3 linked regions of the Struthio camelus genome follow. The protein of the gene in region 3 binds, or shares a complex with, the protein of the main gene of each other region. Links are inferred from orthologs where the notes say so. Each region holds a gene or a part of one and is shown on either strand. Other genes may lie near its edges. The genes, in order: CTNNA1, CDH26 and CTNND1.

The links.
Region 1: CTNND1 (region 3) and CTNNA1 share a complex: the UniProt entries of both Homo sapiens proteins name them as parts of the cadherin:catenin adhesion complex. The link is inferred for Struthio camelus from reciprocal best matches to the Homo sapiens genes CTNND1 and CTNNA1.
Region 2: CTNND1 (region 3) and CDH26 share a complex: the UniProt entries of both Homo sapiens proteins name them as parts of the cadherin:catenin adhesion complex. The link is inferred for Struthio camelus from reciprocal best matches to the Homo sapiens genes CTNND1 and CDH26.

The regions. Positions count from the first base shown.
Region 1 is NC_090954.1:20,905,358-20,912,300, forward strand, and holds the start of CTNNA1 (catenin alpha-1), read left to right. Parts: upstream 1-3,941; 5' UTR 3,942-4,110; intron 4,111-6,943. UniProt on the Homo sapiens protein: Associates with the cytoplasmic domain of a variety of cadherins. The association of catenins to cadherins produces a complex which is linked to the actin filament network, and which seems to be of primary importance for cadherins cell-adhesion properties.
Region 2 is NC_090959.1:14,330,898-14,338,884, reverse strand, and holds the start of CDH26 (cadherin-like protein 26), read right to left. Parts: upstream 3,014-7,987; 5' UTR 2,964-3,013; coding exon 2,736-2,963; intron 1,173-2,735; coding exon 1,095-1,172; intron 1,011-1,094; coding exon 888-1,010; intron 342-887; coding exon 180-341; intron 1-179. UniProt on the Homo sapiens protein: Cadherins are calcium-dependent cell adhesion proteins. They preferentially interact with themselves in a homophilic manner in connecting cells; cadherins may thus contribute to the sorting of heterogeneous cell types.
Region 3 is NC_090946.1:7,454,196-7,461,329, forward strand, and holds the start of CTNND1 (catenin delta-1), read right to left. Parts: upstream 3,092-7,134; 5' UTR 2,958-3,091; intron 1,901-2,957; exon of another isoform or gene 1,523-1,900; intron 1-1,522. UniProt on the Homo sapiens protein: Key regulator of cell-cell adhesion that associates with and regulates the cell adhesion properties of both C-, E- and N-cadherins, being critical for their surface stability.

The sequences.
Region 1 (6,943 bases), on a different chromosome or scaffold from region 3:
TTTTATCTCCTGCCCTCTGGGATTCCATCTTAATTTTCCCATTACCGTCTCTCACCACAGCAGTCCTATCTCAATAGTCCTTACTTCTGCTTCAACCCTGAGTCAGCCTCACAAATAACAAAACTAAAATGCCTCTATTAAAATATAAAAAGATCAAATATGCATTCCAAAACAAGGCAGGCATGCACGTATGCATGGCGTACCTATTTTATTTTCAGCATTGTTGTCCCAGAAATAGAAAATCCAATTCCTGCCAAAAGTACAGCATTTAGACCCGGTGTGTGCTGGGAAGAACAAAAAACATGGTCATGCCAGGTGCTATATGAACCAACCACCTCCTTGGCTGGCATATAAGTCTCCCCCAGGTTACAATAGCAAAAGGGCAACTTTTCTACAGCGACTACACCTGAACTAGTATCTTTAAGTGGCAATATCAGGGATTGCCCTTCCGCATACTGCTGACTAACACAGACATGCTGCCCAAGGTGTGCAATCACAAACCACTTTGTACCCTTACGGACTAGGCGCAGAGTTGCCGTCACAGAGCGAAGAATGAAAGCATTTGTTTGTTTTGTGTGCTTAACAACATACACGCAGCACCACTGTAACAGTCTCCCCTCATTGCTTGTCCTTTTCCCTGGTTTACGTTTGGTTTTCATCCAGCAAAAAGGGAAACTTTTTAAAACCAGGAAAATGGGATTACAAAACCACAGACACTGTTAAAAGGGAGATTCAGGGTCAGGTGGAAAACTTCTAATTCATTTCAAAAAAGGGACTGGTTTTCAGGTTGCCAGCACAGCCTGATGCTGTCTTAATGACAGTCACTGGATTGGAAGTGTTAGCTACTGTTCCGGGTGCCTGTCTAAACAACACCTTGCATTTCTGTCTCCTTGACAGAGCCTGCTACCGTGTTCCAGACAGAGCTGTTAATTAAGAGACAAAGTCCAATCTAAGCCTAGCCGACTCTGTTTTTACATAATTTTGTTTTTTATTTGCTGAGTCTTTTAACTTGATGATCCATGAACTGACGGAGCTGCCAGCTAATTTTCTACTTTTTGCTTCGCGTTTCAACAGTGCGGTACAGAAAGTGCGATTCTCCAGAACGCCAGGCCTTCTACCTTTGAGTTTGTAGTTTGAAAAGGGATTTTTTTTTTTTTAATCTGACATTTTGCCCTGAAAGGATGTGAGACGTGCAAAACTGCTGAATGTGGAAGCCACCACAGGAGGCCAAGGCATGATATTAAACGGAGTAATGAAAGAAAGCAAGCTATTGAAGTGTAAACTCAATTTTATTGAGAGTATGCTGCAGATCAGAAATGAGTAGTTTGAATCCCTGGTGCAACTGACACCAAAATATTAATGGTTTGGTACAAGCAGGAAATACAAAAATCTTTAAAAAAATCCATGTTTTCTCTGCACTTATAGAGAGGAGCATCTGTTTAAAAAGTCTGTTTGCTGAGACACTGAATACTCTATATTATTTTAATAACTTATATCTCAGCCAGCATCATAATTACAGACTTCACTTTCTTTCGATTAACTTCTCTCATAACAGGGCTGGACTCTTGATCCCTATTTTCTTTACGGATTGTAAAACAATGGCACTATGCTTATTTCTCTGGCTTGCTAACCTCTTGGATTAAACCGGTGGGGAGAACAAAATGCAATCTAAGATGCTGCAGGCCACAGTCCGTCTTCCCGCAGGACAGGCTTGTAGCGGCAGGGCAAAAATAGGAAGCATGGTCTTGCTGACTTTACGGAGCCAAGACCTGGAAGAAAATCATAGTCCTAAAGCATTGCATTCCTCCGCGATGGCACTAGCCTGATTGCACGGCCCCTGGAGAGCCAGCATGGGTTGCTTTGTCTACCTTAACTAGATTAGATAGCTCCAGTATATACTCTTTGCTAGGCTTTCCCAGTCTCTCTAGATTTTGACTAATATCAAAGGAAGGAGCAAGTAGATTCAGGCATCTTAGAAATGTTGGCAAATGAGTCACGAAACATATTGACTTTATTTGACTGGTTTTGCAATCCAGTACAAGCACAAGTTCTGTGGAGACCTTTGTATTAAAAGTAATCTCAAAGTGTACTACAAAAAAAACCCCCAAGTCGTTGGGTATAGAATGAAAGCGGCCAGTTCCTCACACAAGAGACTCAGTGACACTTTGAAAAAAGAAACCTTTGAAATAAATTACTGTGTAAAGACAACTTCCAGATCTACAGATTGACCTCAATTCGATTAATGTTAAGTTTCTAAAATCTCCTCCTTTTCTGATGGAGGCTCTGGCATTTGGATTCCAGGAGACATTTAAAATAGCATACATCCGTTTCTGAAATCTCCCACACTTGCATTATCACAGCTTGACAGCCCTTTTATGTCATGGATTTCCCCTATTGCTTTTCCTCTGTATGCTTGTTATTAGAGACATTTGCATGAAAACAAGACATTTTTTGAAAAGCGACAACTCTCAGAAATGTTAAGATACAACATTAGGTTTTCATAAGAAAACAGCAATTTATAAAACCCAAGAGGAACCGAGCTGTCATTTTTTCCCTTTTCCCAGCGAAGCTGATATCACGTATCCACCCGTTTCCAATAGATTTGCTACCTTGTATCTTGCGATAGCCCGGAAGACTAAAGGCTGTATCAGACTTTGGTTAGGGACCATCAGCGGGGTCCGTATGGCATGGTCTGTATCTCCATTTCTGATTTACACAAATCAGATGTCGAAAGATTAATTATAGCTCGTTAATATCCCAGTCAACGGACACGGCATGGATTTTGAACGTCTCTGCGATTTCCCGTCGTAAACCTGGGGGACTACGCAGTTCTTCTAAGTTTCACTGATGGCAGCTAGAAGATTTTTGATTCCTGGAAGTGTTTTGACCTAAAACGTTCATTTTACCTTAGAAGGAAGTTGACCAAAGGTGCCAGAAGTATGGGCCAGTGGGGGAGGAACACAAGAAGCAGCTGGGAAACCTGCCCTTTTGCCCTGTGCTGCTAGGAAAGGCTGTGGTTTCGAGCAAGTTCACGCTTCCGGCGTGCAGAAATCACAGCGAGCGCGAGGCGGGCTGGTTGTGCAACCACTGAAACCAAAAAAGCGGAAGACCGGTTTAAACCCCACGGCCTGGCCACTGAGAAACCGCAGCGATACCGCTGCAGGCCCGTAGCGGAGCCGGCAGGGCCGCAAACCGCGCGGCGCCCGGCGGGCAGCGCAGCGGGGGGAGGGCTGGGGGCGCCCTGCTTGGGGTCCCGGCAGCGCCCGAGGAGCGGGGTCGGGGCACGAGGACGGCTCCGTTCGGGGGGGGGCTGGCAGAGGCCTGAGGCGGGGACAGGCCGCCCGCAGCCCCCTCGGCCCCGGGCGCGGCCGTTGGGGCCCTCACATGCGGCCGTTGGGGCTCGCGCGTGGCTGTTGGGGCCCTCGCGCGCGGCTGTTGGGGCCCCTCGCACGCGGCCGTCGGGGCCCTCGCGCGCGGCCGTCGGGGCCCAGGCGTGGCCATTGGGCCCTCGCGTGTGGCCACTGGGGGCCGGGCGCGCAGCCGTTGGGGCCCTTGCACAGCCGTTAGGCCCCTCGCGCGCGGCCGTTGGGGCTTGGGCGCGGCCGTTGGGGCCCTCGCGGGCGGCCATTCGGGCACGGGCACGGCCGCTGGGGCTCGGGCGCAGCCGTTGGGGCCCTCGGGCACGGCCGCTGGGCCCCTTGCGCGGCCGCTGGGGTTCGGGCGCGGCCGTCGGGCCCCTTGCACGGCCGTTGGGGCTCGGGCGCAGCCGTTGGGCCCCTTGCACGGCCGTTGGGGCTCGGGCGCAGCCGTTGGGCCCCTCGCGCGGCCGGCGGGCCCCTCGCGCGCGCGCGCGGCCGCTGGGGCCGGCGCCCAGCGCCTCACCTGGCGGCGGGCGGTGCCGCCAAGGGCGGCAGGGGCGGCGCGCGGCAGCGGGCGGGCGGCGCCGGGAAGAGCCGGCCGGACCCGTGCGGGGCGGGGAGGCGGGAGGTGCCCGGAAGAGCCGATTTCCTCTCTCCGGCTCGGGACGGGAGCGGCGTCGAGCGAGACAAAGCGGCCGCGGCGGCTCCGGGCCCGGGATCCAGCGGCGGGTGCCCCCCTCCTCCCCTCCCGGTAACTTCGGCGGCGGCGCTGCCCGCTCCCCTGCCCTCCCCCCGCCCCGCTCCTCCGACTTGGGAAACTTTTCGCGGCGCCGCGGCCGGGCCTGGCCGCGCCGAGCCGGGCCGGGCCGGGCTGGGCTGGGCGAGCTCGGCCGGGGCCCAGGCCCGGCTCTGGCCCCCGCGACGGGCGGCCGGGAGGGGCCCCCGGGCGGCGGTGGGGGCTGGCGGCGGGGCCCGGCGCCCCGTGGCGGCCCCGTCCCGGCGCGGGCGGCGGCGGCGGCCCGGAGCGCGGAGCGGAGGGGAGGGAGCGCGGCCCGGCCCGGCCCTGCCCGCCTGGCTTCCGGGCGCCGCGGAGCGGAGCGGAGCGGGCCGCGCCGCCTCCCCGCCGGCGGCGGGGCGTGGGCCGGGGCTGCCTGCCGGGCCGCGGCGGGGCTCCGCGTGGCTGCGCCCGGGCGGTGCGGCCCTGCCCGGCACCGGGGCGGGGGCAGAGCCAGCTGCCGGGCGCGGCGGGGGCGGGAGGCTCCTGTGGGGAGAGCGGCCAGGCGGCGGGTGGCTTTTTTGGGCACGAGTAGATTAATGTTATCTTGCTGTTCAAAGAAGAGCTCTCTGCTTCCAGCAGCAGTACGGATCGGGCTGGAAGACTGTCAGCCGCAGTTACCGGACTGGTTCGGGTGGGAGCAGGGATTTTGCTTTAATAAAAAAAACGCACCAAAAAAAAACTTTCCACAGCTGCTGGGCACGGCTAGGTGAACCTGTCCGGTCCCTGCCATGGCAGCAGTCAGGTACAGGCATCTTCTACGTGGTTCCCCAGGCAACTATTTGCAGAGTTGAATCTTGCTGCTTGGCATGGGTTACCGAAAGCGTTGCTTGATTGCTTCAGTTTTGTGATGAGTTGATTTTTTTTTTGGTTGTTGGTTTTTTGGGGTTTGGTGCTGACAACACTGGTATGCTCTTCCTTCTCTGTTCTACCTGCAGATTTTTTTGTGATGCAGCTAAAACAAGCTTATGCAGTTCTCCCCCAAACTGGTGTTTGTGTTTGAATACGTAAAGTGCAACTTCTCTTCATCCCAGAACACCCCGTTTCCCTTAACTTAGCCATGTCACATTTTTTGATAGCCACCTATAATGCCATAAGACAAGTACCCTTTCTCTGCTGACCAGAAGTTTCATGCCACTTCTTACATCTAAACAATAGAGAGACTGCATCAATGCTTTCAGTCACTGTTTTATCCTCAACTCTCATCCCTGCAGCCTGTGGGCTACTGACTAATACATATTGGCCTGCTATTCTTGGTTAGTCCCTTTCACATTAGTTCAATGGGTGTGAAATATTTTAGGCTGAAAATACGTGGAGGACAAAAAAGTATGTTAGTCTCTTATATTTAGGCAAGAATTAGATGTGGTCGAAGCTTACTTCCCTGTTCCTCTCACGTTGGTCTGCCTGCCTTACCCGCAAGGCAGTGTGTATGTTATCGCTATGTCAGCGTGAGTGATCAATAATCCACTTGCCTCGTCTGAGTTATGCGCGTCCATTATTGTGTTCTCATTCCAGCATTCACAATTATGACTCAAGGCATGTTTATGGTTATTTCTATTGAAATAGTCTAGGATCTCCCTGCAGTCTTTTGTCGGTCCTGTTGTACTTCTTGTTTTGTTTTGTTTTTGGTTGTATTTTTTGTTTTGTTTTTAAACTGCATTGTGAGTAGGGAAGTGGGGGCGGTAGGAGAGGCTCTGCTAACTGTAGCTTTGATTCTAACCTACATCCTTAGTCATGCTGGCTAGATCAGACTTACAGCACTTTCAAACCCAGCTGAAGGTGCTAGTTTATTTTCAGCTCTTGGGCTAGTTTGTGGGGATGTTAGTCTGGGTTTCAATGTAGGTGAAAGGCTAAGCTTACTTTGCAGTATATGTGTGGTCTTTCAGGTACAAGGCAGATTGCCACGTATCTGTCTGGAGCACGCTAAGCTGTTTGGTTTGCCTTTGTGTGCTCAGGCAGCGTTAAGTGTTTAGAAGACTTGTTTCTCTCTTCCTGCTGAACTGAATCTTCTTGCTTGAAAGGGCATTATTTTAAGTTGAGTCATTTTCTGTTTTTTTCTTTAGTGGAAAACAGTTTTGAAAACATAAAGGAAATATCTTTGGCTCTTCTTAAGAGAAACAGATGAAAGTTCAGTTTTTGTTTTAGAAACACTTTGCTGTAATGTATTTGATAATAAACAAAATGCCGTCAGGTTTTTTTTTTTTGTCAGCTGGCTCTAATAATAGGTGTCTGCATCAGAGATTAAAGGTTTACCCACGGTGACAGGGAGGAGTACACTAGGTCAAGATTAGAAATACTGCACCCAAACTGATGACTTTAAATACCAAAGCAAATATTTACCTCTGATAAAATTTTCAAACTTTGTAAAGCATCAGCCTTTGAGATGGTGTTAAAACGTGTATAATGGCAAGTGTTAATATGCAGTTTATTCGTAGGACTTCCGTTAGTCAGATCAAGTTAACTGAAAGCTATAAAAGAAAAGTAATTTGTGTATTTCAGCTTCATAAATTTCTTCCTTCTGCAGCTGTAAGATCCAGAAACTGATCTTGCAAAAGAGTCCGCCTTAGTAGAGATATTTATGAGCTGAAAATAAGCTTTAGTAGAACTTTGGCCTGTGTGGAAGTTATACATACTGTTGCTCTATAATATCCTTTCTTATGAAAAGAATTAGTTAAACTCACAAAAATATTTAGCAGAGAACCCGATCTACTAAGCATAGATATTAAGGTTAGTCTAGAGCGAGGACATACATGGCTGAGATAGTCCGTTGAAGGACTTGCAGCTTCTGTTTTACTGGCATCTCTTGACT
Region 2 (7,987 bases), on a different chromosome or scaffold from region 3:
CAGAAGTTACCTGTTCGTTTCTGCTAAGACGATTACTTTTGCATTTATTTTGAGATTCAAAATAAGAAGGACAAAAATACACCCTTCAGATTCTTACTGGCATATCTCATTCCTGTGAAGCATTTGGCCATGAGAAAAAGAAAAAATTTGCTGAAGGTATTCTTTTAAAGCATGATTACCTGAAAAGATGGGGTCTTTTCTCTGTCAATGGTACGATGTACATACACATGTCCGTTTGCATCGTCTTCTATAGAAAACAATCCAATCTCTGGATGTTCATCTACACCAGGTCCACTGATTAAGTATCGTACTGATGCATTAAATGATTTGTTATTGAACAGCTTTGAAAAGAAACACAATTCAGCGTGAGTAAGGAAGACAGAACAGAGGTAAAATACTTTAGACCAATTCTCTTCCTGGCCGCTCTGTCTTTGGAGACGGGACCTTGCTTACAGGCTTGCTTTCAGCCACCCAGCAGCTTTCTGGGTTGCAACACTTTCCTCCCAGTCCTCTCTGTCCGTAGAAAGGCCCTGCCATCACCTCTGAGACACAGCTGCCAGCCCACTACACTCTCCACTCTCTCTGCACAATATACAGGCTCGCAGCTCTGTGCAGTGACTCTCTCACCTCTCCCATACCATCGTCTCTTCGTTTTCCTAAGTGTGGCAACAGCTTCCCAAAGAAAGGAGCAATCTCCCCCTCCCACTACATGATTCCACCCAATTCTGTTTAAACAGGGCAGTTTGAACAAAGGAAGTTTTAAAAAAAAGGTCTAATACACAGGGGCATTCTTGCCCTCTTCCACCCTTGATGTTTTGTTGTAGAATTGGTGGTAAAAACCTTACAGAGAGGTTCAGGAAGAGCTTGTACTAAAAGCTTATTTGTACCTGTCCAGCATATTTTGGGAATGGTCCTTTTTCCTCCTCTTGAACAACAATGGTGGTAATAACCCATGTCCTTTTCGTACGCCGTAGAGGATGTAGACCATCTAATTGATAAGAATCTAGCCACTATTGGATAAAGAAGTGCATTTAGTGCTGTAGTTTATGTACTAATTGTAGTGTATCTGTTACTAAATAACACTGACTACAAACCTGGATGCTCTTCTTTTGGGTAGCTTGTCTTAAGTGGAAATTTTCAACTTCGTGAGAAAAGCTGTTGGCAGCAGTAACCTTATAAAAGAGAAGCCCATTGTGAGAAGTGTGGTTAGCTAGAAAACATTGGAATGAATGTTGCCTGGGAGGAATTTGGCTTCACAGAAACGTATCGGTTCAGTTCTGACACCAGTGTGTTACATTGTAGTTAACGCTATAAAATTATAGAAATTCCAGAGATATCATCCTTCCCATTGCAAGTGAAGTGGCATGAGACCTTGGCTACTGATTTCTTTGGTCAGGTGATGCCAGTCCCAGAAACATGCAAATGCTGTCTCGAACTCTCCAGACTGTTATCTCTGTGGCTTCCTCTCAAACCAACTCTTGATACTTGAAATACGGAAATACTCCCCTCTGTCTCTCCCTGCCTTTACAATTTATATTGACAGGATGTAAACTTTCTGCTGAAAATATTAAGTCTGAATAGTATTTCAGGTTCTCAAAAACTTTGTCATGTTTTTATGTGTCCCAAACTGGACCGAAGTCTATAACCTGGACGTGAGTAAAATACGTTGTTGAGAATGGAATTCCACCCTAATTAGCTTTTATAAGCACTGGATTCCTACACAAGCTTCAAACACTGCTTTTTACTTAAAAATCTTCCTTCCACTGCAAGTGTGATAGTACTCAGATTACACTTTTGGCATTAGCTCAGAGACAGCTTGTACACCTTTTTCCTCATTCTCGCAATATTCGTGTGGAAGCTTGCTTTTTGCTGACCTGTTCTGTCAAAAGGTCTCCAGTGTCATTTAAAGAAAGGAGCAGCGCTATTCCCACCTAGACTGGGTAAAGGTCAGGCCTTTATCTCCTGATCTGTTTCTGAAGAAACAAAATACTGATGGAATTGCTGCGGTTATTAACTCCACACCCCAAGCGATGGGGCTCATGGGTAGTGCTTTGGAGCTTTTCTGTAAAGCTGTTGTATGACCTGGGCCTCTGCGGTGTAAAAACAGCAAGCAAGGCTTTAACCTGGCACTTGAATGGTAGTATTTATTAGCTTAGTTCCAGGTTCAGCTCTGCTGGACTTTGTAAGCCCTTGTCTGTGCCGGACAGCCCCCCTGCCGCCGCCCCCAGCTGCTTTCCCCGTCTGTGTGTAACCACTCCTAAGTATACTAAAAAGCTTTAATCATGTATTTTTACAGCTTCTGCACTCCTTTGTGTGCGCAGCAACGGCTGCAGCTGCTGCCGTATCTATTCCAGACTTGGCCACCACTAGTAAGGAACAACACTGTTCAGGCCCATAAACCCCACAGAAATGCTCACGGAAATGCTGATGAGTTATTGTGGGGGATCATAAACCCACCAGAGACAGCACTGGGCACCAGTGCGCTCTGCCAGGCACGAACGCCCCCGGATCTTCACCGCGAGCCGAAGGCCCCAGCTCCATGCAGGCCGTTTCACCACTGATCCCGGAAACCCCTTGCGAGAGACCTGAGCCCGGCATTTGGGGGGCAAAGCAGCTACCCTTTCCCCGGGGTGCTGCGCTCGGGGGGCAGGCTGCACCCTCAGAGCCCACCCAGCGGCCGGAGGCCTCGTCCCTGCGGGGAGCGAAGTGCCGCCCCCCCCCAAGCCCTCACCTACCACCAGGAGAAGCAGCGCAGCGAGTCGCTCCATGGCAGCGCAGAGCCAAGTGCGGAGCTGGGTGTGGAGCCAAGCAGTGCCCGTGAAGCACCTGGCCGCACCCCAGCGTCCGCCCACCCCGGGGGCAGCGCAGAGCCAAGGAAGGAGGGACCGGGGCCGTGCCAGGGCCACCTGCCCCACGAGGCACCTCCTCCTTGGTTCCTCCAGGGCAGCCCAGGCCTGGCCCATGGCAGCAGCTCACAGGCAGCGTTCGGCAGTCCTCGCTCCCCTCTTGTCTTGATGATGTTGTACCTTGGTGCTGGTGCACAAGCAGGCTACCCCAATGGCGATTCCCAGGGTGTGCTGACTGTACCACTATCCGTGGGGGTCCTGCAGCTCTGGGGTTCCCTTATTTCAAACAGGTTAGGCGACACCAAACTATGTTTCCTGCATGGGACCTGTGTCTGTTCCCATACCCTTGCTTCAGAAAAGCTACAGCGATGGATCTCTTCTAGTACCAATGCCTTTTTGATGTAGAATAGGCCTCAGTTACGTAGAGATGTCTCAGCCCAGTTGTTCTCCTTGGCAGGATATAGTGAGTTCCCCCCAAAGCTATCTGAGATACAGAGGTGAGAACAGAGTGCGAGAGAGTGCGCTGAGCATCTGTTCTGCCCCGCTGGAAGGGGGAACCCTTCCGACAATTCAGTTCTTCCATGTGCCGGTCTAGAGGGTGCACATTAGGATTTTGGATGCTCTCAATTGAGTTGCTCCTAGGAATTTTGTACAGTGGCTTATTACAACAAAATCTGTTTTTCACTATTGTCACTTCCACTATTTCTGTTCTTTACTAAATAGTTATCATCTACAGTTCCACAGGCGTTAGAGCTGCTCCAGGGAAAAGCAGATATTTCTGCCTGGCAGACAGAACAGGAATGAAATGAAACTCTGTTCTGTAATATTGAAATGACTCAAAGTAAAACTTAGCTCCCCTTTGGTGGGTTTTTTTTTTTCAGTTGCTTTGTAATTGGTACTTCTACTATCACTCAAAACAAATGTGTCGTTACTGAACTTTTATGGCCATTATACAGCTGTAATAGACAGGCAGCTTTCATTAAAGAGTTCTTCAGAAATGTGATTGCCTGGTAACTTTACAGTTGCTCACAAAAATGCAAACATATTACTTCATATTTAGTGGAGACATGCTATTACAAATACTTCTGATATATATATATATATGCAGTACCCTGAGCAATTCTTATCTGTCATAACCGTGACAGTTACTATTATGTTACTTAAGACTTTGAACCAAGAACAAGTTCTGAAAATGTTTCTTAAACTAGATTGTTCTGTGCAACCCATCAAGCAAGTATCAATTTGCATACTGAAGTTCTTCTATATGAACGTCTAAAGCTGGATACGCAATACAACATGAGCACAAAGACAAAGGGCATAGGCATTATGGAACATACCTAGATAATTTAGCAGCTCCGCTCTAGAGGTTCAAACAAGGGGAGAGTGGCTCCTTTTCAGTCCAGGGCAAACTGCTAGCTGCCTAAGTAAGCTGAGAAAAGAACTGATAAGTAAAATTTTTAACCTTAAGCTTTATTATACTTAGTGCAAGTTTCTCTGAAAACGGTGATTGAGTTGATTAATACCACATTTGGAAAAGGTTGGTCTGGCTTGTTGGTTACATTTTCCTTGGAAAAGCTGTATCATCTTATCTCTTCTGATTGTCAAATTGTTATGTGATACCTCCCAAAGGAGTTTTGTAATGTTTAACTTTAGAGATTTTGAAGAAAGTGAGAGAGATCTCAATATGATGAAGTACAGTCTGTGTGTATTTTCATGTATTATGATGCCTTAAAACAGCAACTACAGAAGTAACTGCCATGTAGAATAGAAATAATCATATAGTTTTTAACTAGCTACCTTGGCTACCAGTAGGAATATAGCTGAGATACAGCAGCCTAGAAAGCTCAGCTCTGGGGTAACAGAAATTATCTAAAAGAAAAAATCACAGGTGCCATCTTGTGGGTGATCCAAAAAAATACAAGCAAGTAACAAAGATGCATATAAAGTAAATAGACAGTAACTTTTAAGTTACAAGATGACTTTCTAATGAAATTACTAGCAAAAAAAATAAAAAAATAAAAAAGGAGAGAGAGAGAAACTTAGAATAAACAAGTACACATGATTACCAGACATCAAAAGCTGGGCTAGAAATTATCAGTTAACAGAGTTCCATTCTTTCTGGACAGAATGGTGCGTTTAATTATTTTCTACCAAAAAACTCACTAAAGCCAATGGGAGCAACAAAGGCTCAGTACCTTTGAAAAGAAGGCCAAAAAATTACACCATAGGCAGTTTTGTACTGTAGATTTTTAATATCACACAATAACTGACAAAACTCTCATCAAAATATTGTCTACCCATAACAAGATCCTTTAAACAGCAAATGCTAGATATAGATTACCTCAAAGAACATTAAATGATGCACAGAAAGGGAGGATGCAACAGGCATAATTGTCATCATGTGCAACATTATTGCCCCATGCTGGGCACAGGTCAGCGGGCAGCAGCAGAGGCATGTTAGCGCAGGTAGCACACAGGCTGGGAGCTGCAGTCGCAACATCTTGGGAGAGGCAGTGGTGGGGAATGAGAGCTCCTAAGCCGTGGCAACCCCTTTGCTGTAAACTCACAGGAGCTGAGGTCTCCTGTCTTACGCACAAAGAATACGGAGCCTTTTGCCTCTTCAAGGAGCAGTATCGCCCCACTACTGCTGAATTCTTATCAGCAAACATAATCTCTCATTTGCAAAGAAAAATAATCCATTTTACTAGCCTTAAGAGGTGGACACCCTATGTTTTAGGATACTGAAGCAGCGGTGGAGACGGATTTGAGTCCTCCTTGTAAGTCTCTTCCACGTGAAGATGATTCCACATCATACTTGAAGCTCCTTTTCCCAGGATGTTAAATAGCGCTCACACAAATGCTCTCTCTTTGGAGCATAACTTCTCAGTGAGTAACTGCAAAAGCTTGATTTCTTACAAAATGAGGATTGGGAAGCATTGCGCATAAACATCAGAACATCGGTCTTTAACTGAAAGCTACCACAAGGTGGGGAAACAACCCTCTAAGTGACCACAGTATTTCATTGCAGATGATGCAGGCAATAGAGAGAGAAGAAACATGCAAAGAGAAGAACTCTATTGTTTCAAAATTCTTAGTGTTAAGCATTAAAAATAGGGTATACCATTAGTAAGGAAAACAGTGTGTATATATTTTGGAGCAAAATTCTGTTTTGTTACATCTTTGTAACAGGATAATTTCACTGAAAACAGACTTATTCAAAGTTTATACTAGTAGAATCTAGCAATTTTATTTAAAATGCAACCTGAGTGTATTAGCTCTGTAGGCAGTACTACAGAACATTAAACCTTTAAATTATCTAGAAAAAAAAAAATTGCCCCATTTAAATATCTCAAATCACAGGAAAATTTTTCTTCAAAAATACCTTGAACAGTAGGGTTAGACACACAAGAATGTATCATCATATTGCTAAATATAGTGAAGAAAAATATAAATAACCACACAAGCATTGTCCTGTGCAAGTATTTTAATTCCAAACAAAGTACTTGACCTAACCAACTTTTCTGCTATATTCAGAGGTGCTTTTAAAGACAACATTCATGAATGCAGAATGAAGGAAATATAAACCTTAGCCCTCATCATAAAAGGAACTCTTTTCATCTGTGAGCCCAGAACATGGACAAGTTAAAATAGAAGCAAAGTTCTGCAGGATAAAATCCAACCCTTGTGAGCCTGCTTATTTTAAGAGCTGTTTATTAAGGATAACGCAGAATTTGTATTTCTGTATATGAACAGAGGGGACTGCGTAAGAAGTACCAAATCATCAATGAACAAAAATTAGACTTGTGTGATTACCATGCAAGACAAACTTGCCAGATCATAGCTCAATGTTTAACAGGTGTTCAGATTTATTTAAGTGGCATCAGCGTCTCTGCCTACTTAAATTTTCAGTCCCCAAGAACAGATCGATGTCCTTCAGACCACAAGCAGTACATTACAATAAAATTTTCGAAGCCCATAGGTTTGTGAGAAAAACCTTCTCTCAGTGCGAATCACCTTTGCTCTATTCAAGGCAGACTGAAACACTATTTATTTTTTGAGAACTAACCATGCAAAATGTGCAGGTATCTACATGCTCTCCTTGTAACCTAGGGAAACACCAATACAGAGCAAATTTTCAGAAGCAAATTTAGCATACACTAATATTCAGTGCTATAATAACATGCTAATTAATTATTGCTTCTACTAGAATTTGTTTAAAAAAATTTGCCATGCTGATTATGGACTTGATCCTGGTCACTTCGCTTTTGGTGCTTATAAATAGCGCACCAAAATAGTGCACTGATAATACTGCTTATTAGCAACGGGAGTAACTTTCACTACTGATTCAGGAAAACTTGAGTAATGAAGGCTTGCAGGATTTGGCCCAAGCTTGAAACTCAAGCGTTGGATGCAGGGCCTTTTGATCCAAAAAAGCTGACCTACATGGCGACTCTGAAACAAAACAAAAGGATGAAACAGCAAACAGAAGCCTGTGCTACTGCTCTGCAGTTGCTGGTAATTGAATGTCGTCCTCTTTAGTGTCACCACACCTCTGACACAGCCAATTTATTTGATCGTTGAGCATGTCAGATTTAAGTTTCACTTTAATTGCATAGAACAGAACGTACATGGAACAATTAGTTTTTAACTGTAAGGTAACAAATACTGAATATGTAAATATAATACTGTATACTAAATTTGTTTCCTTCATCAATTTAAAATTTCCCATTTAGTCTCCAGTTGACTAGGAAAAAGACACTAAAAATATTTCTTAAACTATTCCTGAGCATTGCTTTTTTAAGTACTGTAAAATACTCTAGTTTATTACTACATTTATTATCACATTTTAAATTACATTAAATCCATGCTTTGAAATTTTACCAAGCTGAAGATCAGGTAGGCACAATGAAAGAATAGAAGCAACTAAGCATCTTACAACCAAGATGAGATCAACCAATAAAAGTGCATTTTAACTATATACATAATTTAGTATTTGCTACTTTTTCATTTTACAACACAGTGGGAAGGAGCCACTTGAAAAGTCTGGTCTGTCAGACCTCAGCTCACTTCTCATAAATAGTTTGCTGTGATAGGTGGCTGAGAATGAAGTCAATGCTGCTCAATAAATATTTCACTGCGCA
Region 3 (7,134 bases):
GAAAGCAAGGCAGATTAGCAACAGGCACAAGATAAGCAGGAGACCGATTGACTCATGATCCAAAGCTGCAACTATCAGCCTGCTGCTGGGAGTCCCCAGTACACTAGTTCTGAAAGAACAAGTTTCCTCCAAACAGCCTCTTAGGCCTGTACAAGAACAAAAGCTGAAGAGGAGGTTGTGGCCACCTTGGGAAACTCCAGGACTTTGGTCTAAAGCCTGCAAAGCCAGTCCCTTTCCAACAGCCTCGTGTTGAGACACATTCTTGCACTGTGTGCCAGAGGACGGTTTCCTCCACCAGCCAAGCCCTGTGTCGCACACAGAGCTCTGAAGCTGCCTGAATCACCCAACAGGTTTGGTTTTGTCACCTCATCCAGGCAACACCTGCTGCCTTTTATGGACCCAAACCAGCCTGGTGCTTCCGCCCCTCACTGTCAACAAGGCAGAAATAAGGAAAAACAACAATAGAGCAGGGATTAAGGGGTTTTTTTAGGCCAGGATAAAAGCTCTGCATATCCCTCAAGACAGTATCACCACAATCTTGAGTAAGGGCTCTGCGCTTGCCAGTAGTAAAAGGCCAGACAGTTATGATGGGTTGCTGGGAAGAGAAACCAAGAGATTTAACTAGGACTCTTCCCTAAGGCTACAGGCACCGGTAAACTATTTTGAGGACTCAGCCTTCCAGGCATGATCCAAGCTATGCTACGCTTCGCTGGGCGTCCTAAACCACCCCAATACAAACACAATGGATCGAGGTTTTATCTCCGTGTCAGAAGTTGAAGGAGGGAGAGAAAACAAGGGACGCTTGATTGCAGGCTGGGCTGAAGCATCTGCCTCGGACTCTTAGTCCGTCTTTAGGGAAGGGAGGATCTCGAGGGCTACCGAACCACAAAGATCTGGGCCTGACCTCAGAGTCAGACGGGAGGAGGCTCGCCCCTCCGCAGCAGCCCAGCGGAGCCCAGCAAAGCCGTCCAGCACGCTCCACTAAACAAGCCACTTTCATCCTCCCACCCCTTCCCGGAAGGCTCCTTGCAAAATTCCAACAACTGCTGCACATCGCGAAGGACAGTCATTTGCATGCAACCGAGTCCCAGCCAAGTTCAATCAAGTGTAAAAAAAACACACTCCTTAAGTGCATGAGTAAACAGTCAGAAACAAGTAAGAGAACCTGCCTCAAGTGCCGAGAGCAGGATGGTACAGACAAGGTAACTGGGGAAGCCGAAAACATCCCCCGTTAGGGCTCTTGCTGACATAGCTTTCCACAGCTCTCCTGCTGCACCAGGGAACCCTGCCTCCAGCCGAAAGCTGGGGCCACAGCAGGCCCCGGGGAGCCGTGACGCACAGAAGCATGCACTGCGGGCAGCAGGAGACAGGAGCGAGCCACCACCAAACACTGCGACTGTCCCCAGCTGCTCTCTCCTATCTCCCCACATCCAGAGCAGCGCCCCGGAGAAAAAGAGCAAGACACTGAAACAGAAACCTCAGACTCGAGCAGTAAACACCGGGTATGCGATTCCCACGGTACCTGGGTCCTGGTGGTGCTGAGCTTCAGTATTTCGCTCCCTGCCAAGCTGAGGACAAGCCTGTTTTCAACTCCACATCAAGTGCAGGGCAGCCAAGTAACACCACAGGCAGGACAACAGGTAAGAGACCAAGCAGCAGACGGCTGTACTTCACATACCACCACAACGAGCCACGTGCCTAGATGGTCTCAGATGTGCCCAGACTCTGCCCTCTCGCTTCCCAGCGGCCGGGCAGAAGAGCTCTGTGCAAGGCTGGGTGCCACAGCCCCAAGACAAGGGTGTCCAACTCTGCCGCGAGCACGCCACAGACTCTTTCCCAGGGGAAAGGATAATCCCGGCCCTCCAAAAAAAAAGCCCTGCTCACCCCGCCGTCTCAGGAGTCCCTGCTTTGTCACAGGCTTCGTGCAAGAGCTTGGGCACGGAGCCCTTCCCGGGGAGGGAGGCACCTCCAGGAGATCCACCCCTCTCGCTAACAATCAGAGGAAGCTTTGTTGTCCGGGCTCCCTCACTCAAAGCCCAGGGGCATAGCGGAGATGCCCAGCATCCCTTCTGCAAGGGAGGCAAGCGTGCCTGTGCCTCTCTCTCTCACCGCTGTCCGAGGGCCACCCAAACTTGATTGCGTTTACCCCAAGATAAGCCTCTCCTCCGCAACACTCCCAGAGCCCTCACGTTGCAAGAGAAAGGCAGTATCAGAGAAGGTTATCGACTCCTAGCACAAAAGGCAGCGGACGGTGGGGAGGGAGGAAGCAGATCTCTTGCTAAGTGACAGGGCGGCCAACGGGAGCTGAAGAAAAACAGCCTGCTGAGCCCGGGGCTCCGGGGAACTGACCGTGGCAGGGCTGTTCCCCACCTGGAAGCGTTTCGGTGTCACCTGCCAGCCAGGCGGACACGTCTGGTTTTTAAGATCAGAGCTGTTCTATTCAGGGGACCCGCTGCGGGAGAAGAGGGTGTGTGGGGGGGGGGGGTTGTGCTCCACCCCACATACTTGACCCTCCCTAGGCACAGAAGTCCCCTTCCCCGCGAGAACAAAGGCGCAGACAACCGAGATAGCGGCAGACAGGCGAGCAAGGCAGATAAGAGAGTTTCCAGCTCGCCAGGGCGCTCCCCCACCCCCCTGCCCCGCCGGCCCCGAGCCCTCCCACGCAGCTGCCAACGGCGCGGCGCAGCCCCGCCGCCCCCCGCCCACGAACGGGCCGGCGCGGCCCCCTCGCTGCCCGCACGGAGCGGGGCGGCGGCAGCCCCGGGGCGCTGGCACACGCGCGCCCTTTGTCTGCGGGCCGGGCAGCGGCGACACGCGCGACGCTCAGCCCCGCGGGGCCTTTGTGCCCCTCCCTGCCGCCCCCGGCGGCAGCCGGCCCCGCGGCGGCTGCTCCTTCCCCCCACCCCACCCCCGGCGCTGCCGGCCCCGCTCGCCCCGGCGGCGGCGGCGGGACTTACCGTGGCCGGTCCTCGGAGGAGGGTTGGGGGGGGGGGGGGAAGGAAGGGGCGGCGCGCTCCGCGGGGTCCCGCCGCGGCGGAGGCGGCGAGGAGACACGGGAGCGGCGGCAGGACCGGGCGGCGGCCCGGGTGCCCCGCCGGGCCGGGGGGAGCGGAGCCGGGAGCGGGCCGGGGCCGGCAGGGAGGGAGGGAGGGGGCAGCGGGGCCGGGCCGCGCCGTGCGCCCCGCGCCGCTCCCGCACCTAAAATGGAAGTTGCTCCGGCGGGGCGGGGCGGGGCGGGGCCGCGGGGCGGGGCCGCCCCCGCGCACGTCAGCGCGCCGCGAGCCAATGGCCGCCGCCCCCGGCGCCGCCCGGCCCGCCAATGGCCGCCGCCATTGTAAGGGGGTCCCGCCGCGGCGGGGTGGTAACAACGGGGAGGGGGGCGGGGGCTGCCTCAAGAGGGGGGATCCTGCCCCCAAGGAGGGGGGATCCTGCCCCCAAGGAGGGGGGGATCCAGCCCCCAAGGAGGGGGAAACCTGCCCCCAAGGAGGGGGGATCCTGCCCCCAAGGAGGGGGGGATCCAGCCCCCAAGGAGGGGGAAACCTGCCCCCAAGGAGGGGGGGATCCTGCCCCCAAGGGGGGGGGATCCTGCCCCCAAGGAGGGGGGGGATCCAGCCCCCAAGGAGGGGGGGATCCTGCCCCCAAGGAGGGGGGGATATCTGCCCCCAAGGAGGGGGGGATATCTGCCCCAAGGGGGGGGGGATCCTGCCCCCAAGGAGGGGGGAACCTGCCCCCAAGGAGGGGGGGATCCAGCCCCCAAGGAGGGGGGGATCCAGCCCCCAAGGAGGGGGGAACCTGCCCCCAAGGAGGGGGGAACCTGCCCCCAAGGAGGGGGAGGATCCTGCTCCCAAGGAGGGGGAGGATCCTGCTCCCAAGGAGGGGGGATATCTGCTCCCAAGGAGGGGGGAACCTGTCCCCAAGGAGGGGGGGATATCTGCCCCAAGGGGGGGGGATCCTGCTCCCAAGCAGGGGGATCCCTGCCCCCAAGGAGGGGGGGGGATCTTGCCCTAGGGGCTGTCTTTGCTCCTGGGGGGTGGATCTGCCCCCAGGAGGGTAGTTGCCCTTGGTAGGTTATCTGCCCCCAGGGGGGATCCTGCCCCCAGGACGGGACGTGCGCCAGGGGCGAAGAACTGCCCGGCGGAGGAGCTCTGTCCCTGGGAGGAAGAGCTGCCCCCAGGGCAGGGGGTCCGCCCCCGGGCACAGCAAGCTGCTCCCCGGGCTGGGGCTCTGCCCCCCGGCAGGAGCGGCAGGGCGAGGAGGTCTCTGGGCAAAGCCCTTCCCCACCTCGGCAGCTCCTTCGGGCAGAGCGGCAGCGGATCCCCCTCCCGGCCTGGCACGCGCCCACGGGCCCTGCGCGACGGCCCCGGGCCCTGCGGCGGGGAAGGAGCGTACGCGGCACCCGTGGGGCTCAGCCCTCCCCGGGCTGGGGGTGGAGGAAGAAACGCGACAGTAGTCGGGGGGGAACTCCCTGGACGTGGGGCGACGGAGAAGGGCGGCGAACCCGCCGTGGGAGGCGATACCCTTGCCCCCTCCGCGGAAAGCCCGCAAACGCTCGCGCGTGTGAAGCACCACCGCTACCCCTGCGGGCCGCCTCCGAAGCCCAGGGGATCATCGCAGGCCGAGCCTGTCTCCCATCCTGCCGCCGGACCCCCGTGCGCCCCCCCAGGCCCTGCTGCCCCTCCGGATTTGCGTGCGGCGGCGCCCTGCCCCATCGGCTTGCGCTCTGGCAGCCTGTGCGTCATGCTTGGCTCAGGAACGCTTCCAGGGGCTGCTCTTCCCATTAAAGTTTTCAGTTGTTTCTTACTCCATCCCAGCTCCTTTTGCCTCCCCCGCCAGCCGCTGCCTCCGTCCTGACAAAACTGAGAGTTTGAGAGCGATCCCGATAAGGCAAGATGTGGCTAGCAAGGGACTGACGCAGCCCGCGCCGGTAACGGGGGCTGCCTCGCCTGCGTGCGACCCCCTGAGACCGCGGGTGGAGGAACGCAGCCTGGGCGGCCGGGGCTAAACACCTCATCTAGACGTGGGTGACCTGAAGGCCCAGCACCAGCAGGCGCGTCCCCGGTAAGGGGAGCAGGGGCGGATTTCAGAAAGCCCCTTGCGTGGCCAAGGCCGTGTGGGCCGCCGAAGGACTGCAAACACAGGGAATGGCTGTTACGAGTCCCATCAAAGCAAAGATGAGATAAGCCATTGGGAAGGGGTCTAGTGGGGAAGGCGCGGGGTCTTCGCGCGCCGCTAAAGCAATCGCGCCTTTCACAGTAGACTTGGAAAGAATCAAACGCAAACAACAACCCAGCTAAATTAATCCTGCTTTGCCCCCTCTTCCAAGGTACTAAATCAAACAGTGTTGCAATCGCTGCTGGGTCACAGAAATAATACAAGGGGATCTGGGTAGATACAGAGAGCCGGGGCCGGAAGTAGCAACAGGAGATTTAATAATTACAGCTAACGCAGCTGGAGAAATACAATTCCGAAATGCCGTACTCCACAAAAGAGAGTTACTCAGCTTGGCAAGGAAGTGGCGCCACTTCCCAGGGCCCAGGCTCCGCCGCTGACACTATATGGGAGCTGATTCAGAGTCGAGGGTGTACTGATAGCTCAAATGGGAGACCGGCAGCCTCTTCTTTGCTGTAAGCACTCTCGCACGCGCACCTTTGTGCTCTTCCAGTAACGGAGATTTTCCCCTTTTTTAACAAAGGTCTGGAAGCGATGCAGAGCCTGCCTGTTTCCAGGTTAAGCGTCACTCACCTGAGAGAAGTCCTGATCCAGATCCCCCGAAGGTGACATTCATCCACCTTGTCTCTGGTTCTGGGCTGGCTGGATTCAGTGACTGGGGAGAATCCTGTCGGGTCCTGAGTGCCAAATTACTAGTAAGATAACGGCAGGAGGAAAAGAGTCGATTAAAGTCTTGGGTGGGGATGGGTGATTCTAGGAGTAAATATGCATAGCCTGGTTAAGCAAGGAGGAGGTGGGGGAGATGCGATAGCAGCCTGCAAATGTTTGAAGAAGGTAATCCCCCAGCCAGGGGTGGAGGTTGCCGAGGGTGCTGCAAAAAGGCCTAAGGAGGAGAAATGGGATTAAGTTAACGTGAAGGACACATTTAGAGAGATTATCAGGGCGGGCGGGGGACTCCCAAACCCTCCCTGACGTTACATCAATAAAACATTCTTCAACGTGCTGGCTGGAAAGAGAGCAGGGGCGGGGGGGGTTCAGGGATGGCGGGACCTCTGCCTCTCACAGACAGCAGGAGGTTTCTCTGTCCCACGGCACAGGCGAACTGAGACCTTCTTCCTGCGCCCCTTTCGTCCTCACCCCTGCCTGATCCTCGTCTCCCAAAATCGGGAAGACACGGCCCCCCTCAGCCCTGTGGCTTGAGTGAGAACTGCTCCTGGATCACGGCTAATCCCTCGCTGCCCTCCTCTTTTCCACGCGAGCCACTCGACGCGCTGGAAGAAGGCACTTTTGTGAGTTGGCTGGACTTGGCCAGGGAGTTCAAAGATACAACGGGAGGTACAACAGGCTCGCGGTGGGGCGCACGCGGGAGCCTGGCACGATCACACAAACCTTGTGCCTTCAGGAAGCCAGGCTTAAAAAGCCAGCCATGAAACCTACAGCATCGTTATGGTGGGAGTCACCAGATGGAGCTGTTCCACGTCAGCTCACAAATTATTTCAATCCACAGGTGGATTTCGAGCGTTGCCTCCAGTGCCCTTCTTTCACCCCATCGCTGTCCCAATTTGCCCAGGCTGCGTGACAGGGAGAGCTGGTCTCCTGACACGTCTCTGCCCCTCAGGGGAGCGGGTGGCCAAGAGCAGGGTGCTCAAACCGTGCTAGGCTTTGCCCCGGAGAAAAAGCATGAGGCACACACGCCGCGCGCCCCGACACGCGACAGGGGAGAGCGCGCGGCAGACGGCTGCCCCTGACACGGACGACAGGTAAGCGGCCACCAGCGCACAAAGCCTGGGGCGTCCTTCTGGCGTGCCTGATACACGGCTGCGTTGCTGCTGTTGCAATCAGCCCAGAAATTTAACAGCCTTTAGAGTCTTTGGAGAGTTTCTTCCAAAATTAAACAGTAGAAACGCACCATCGTGAACACACCTACGTTGGCTCTGAATTGCAGCTAGAGTCAGACCTCTTTGA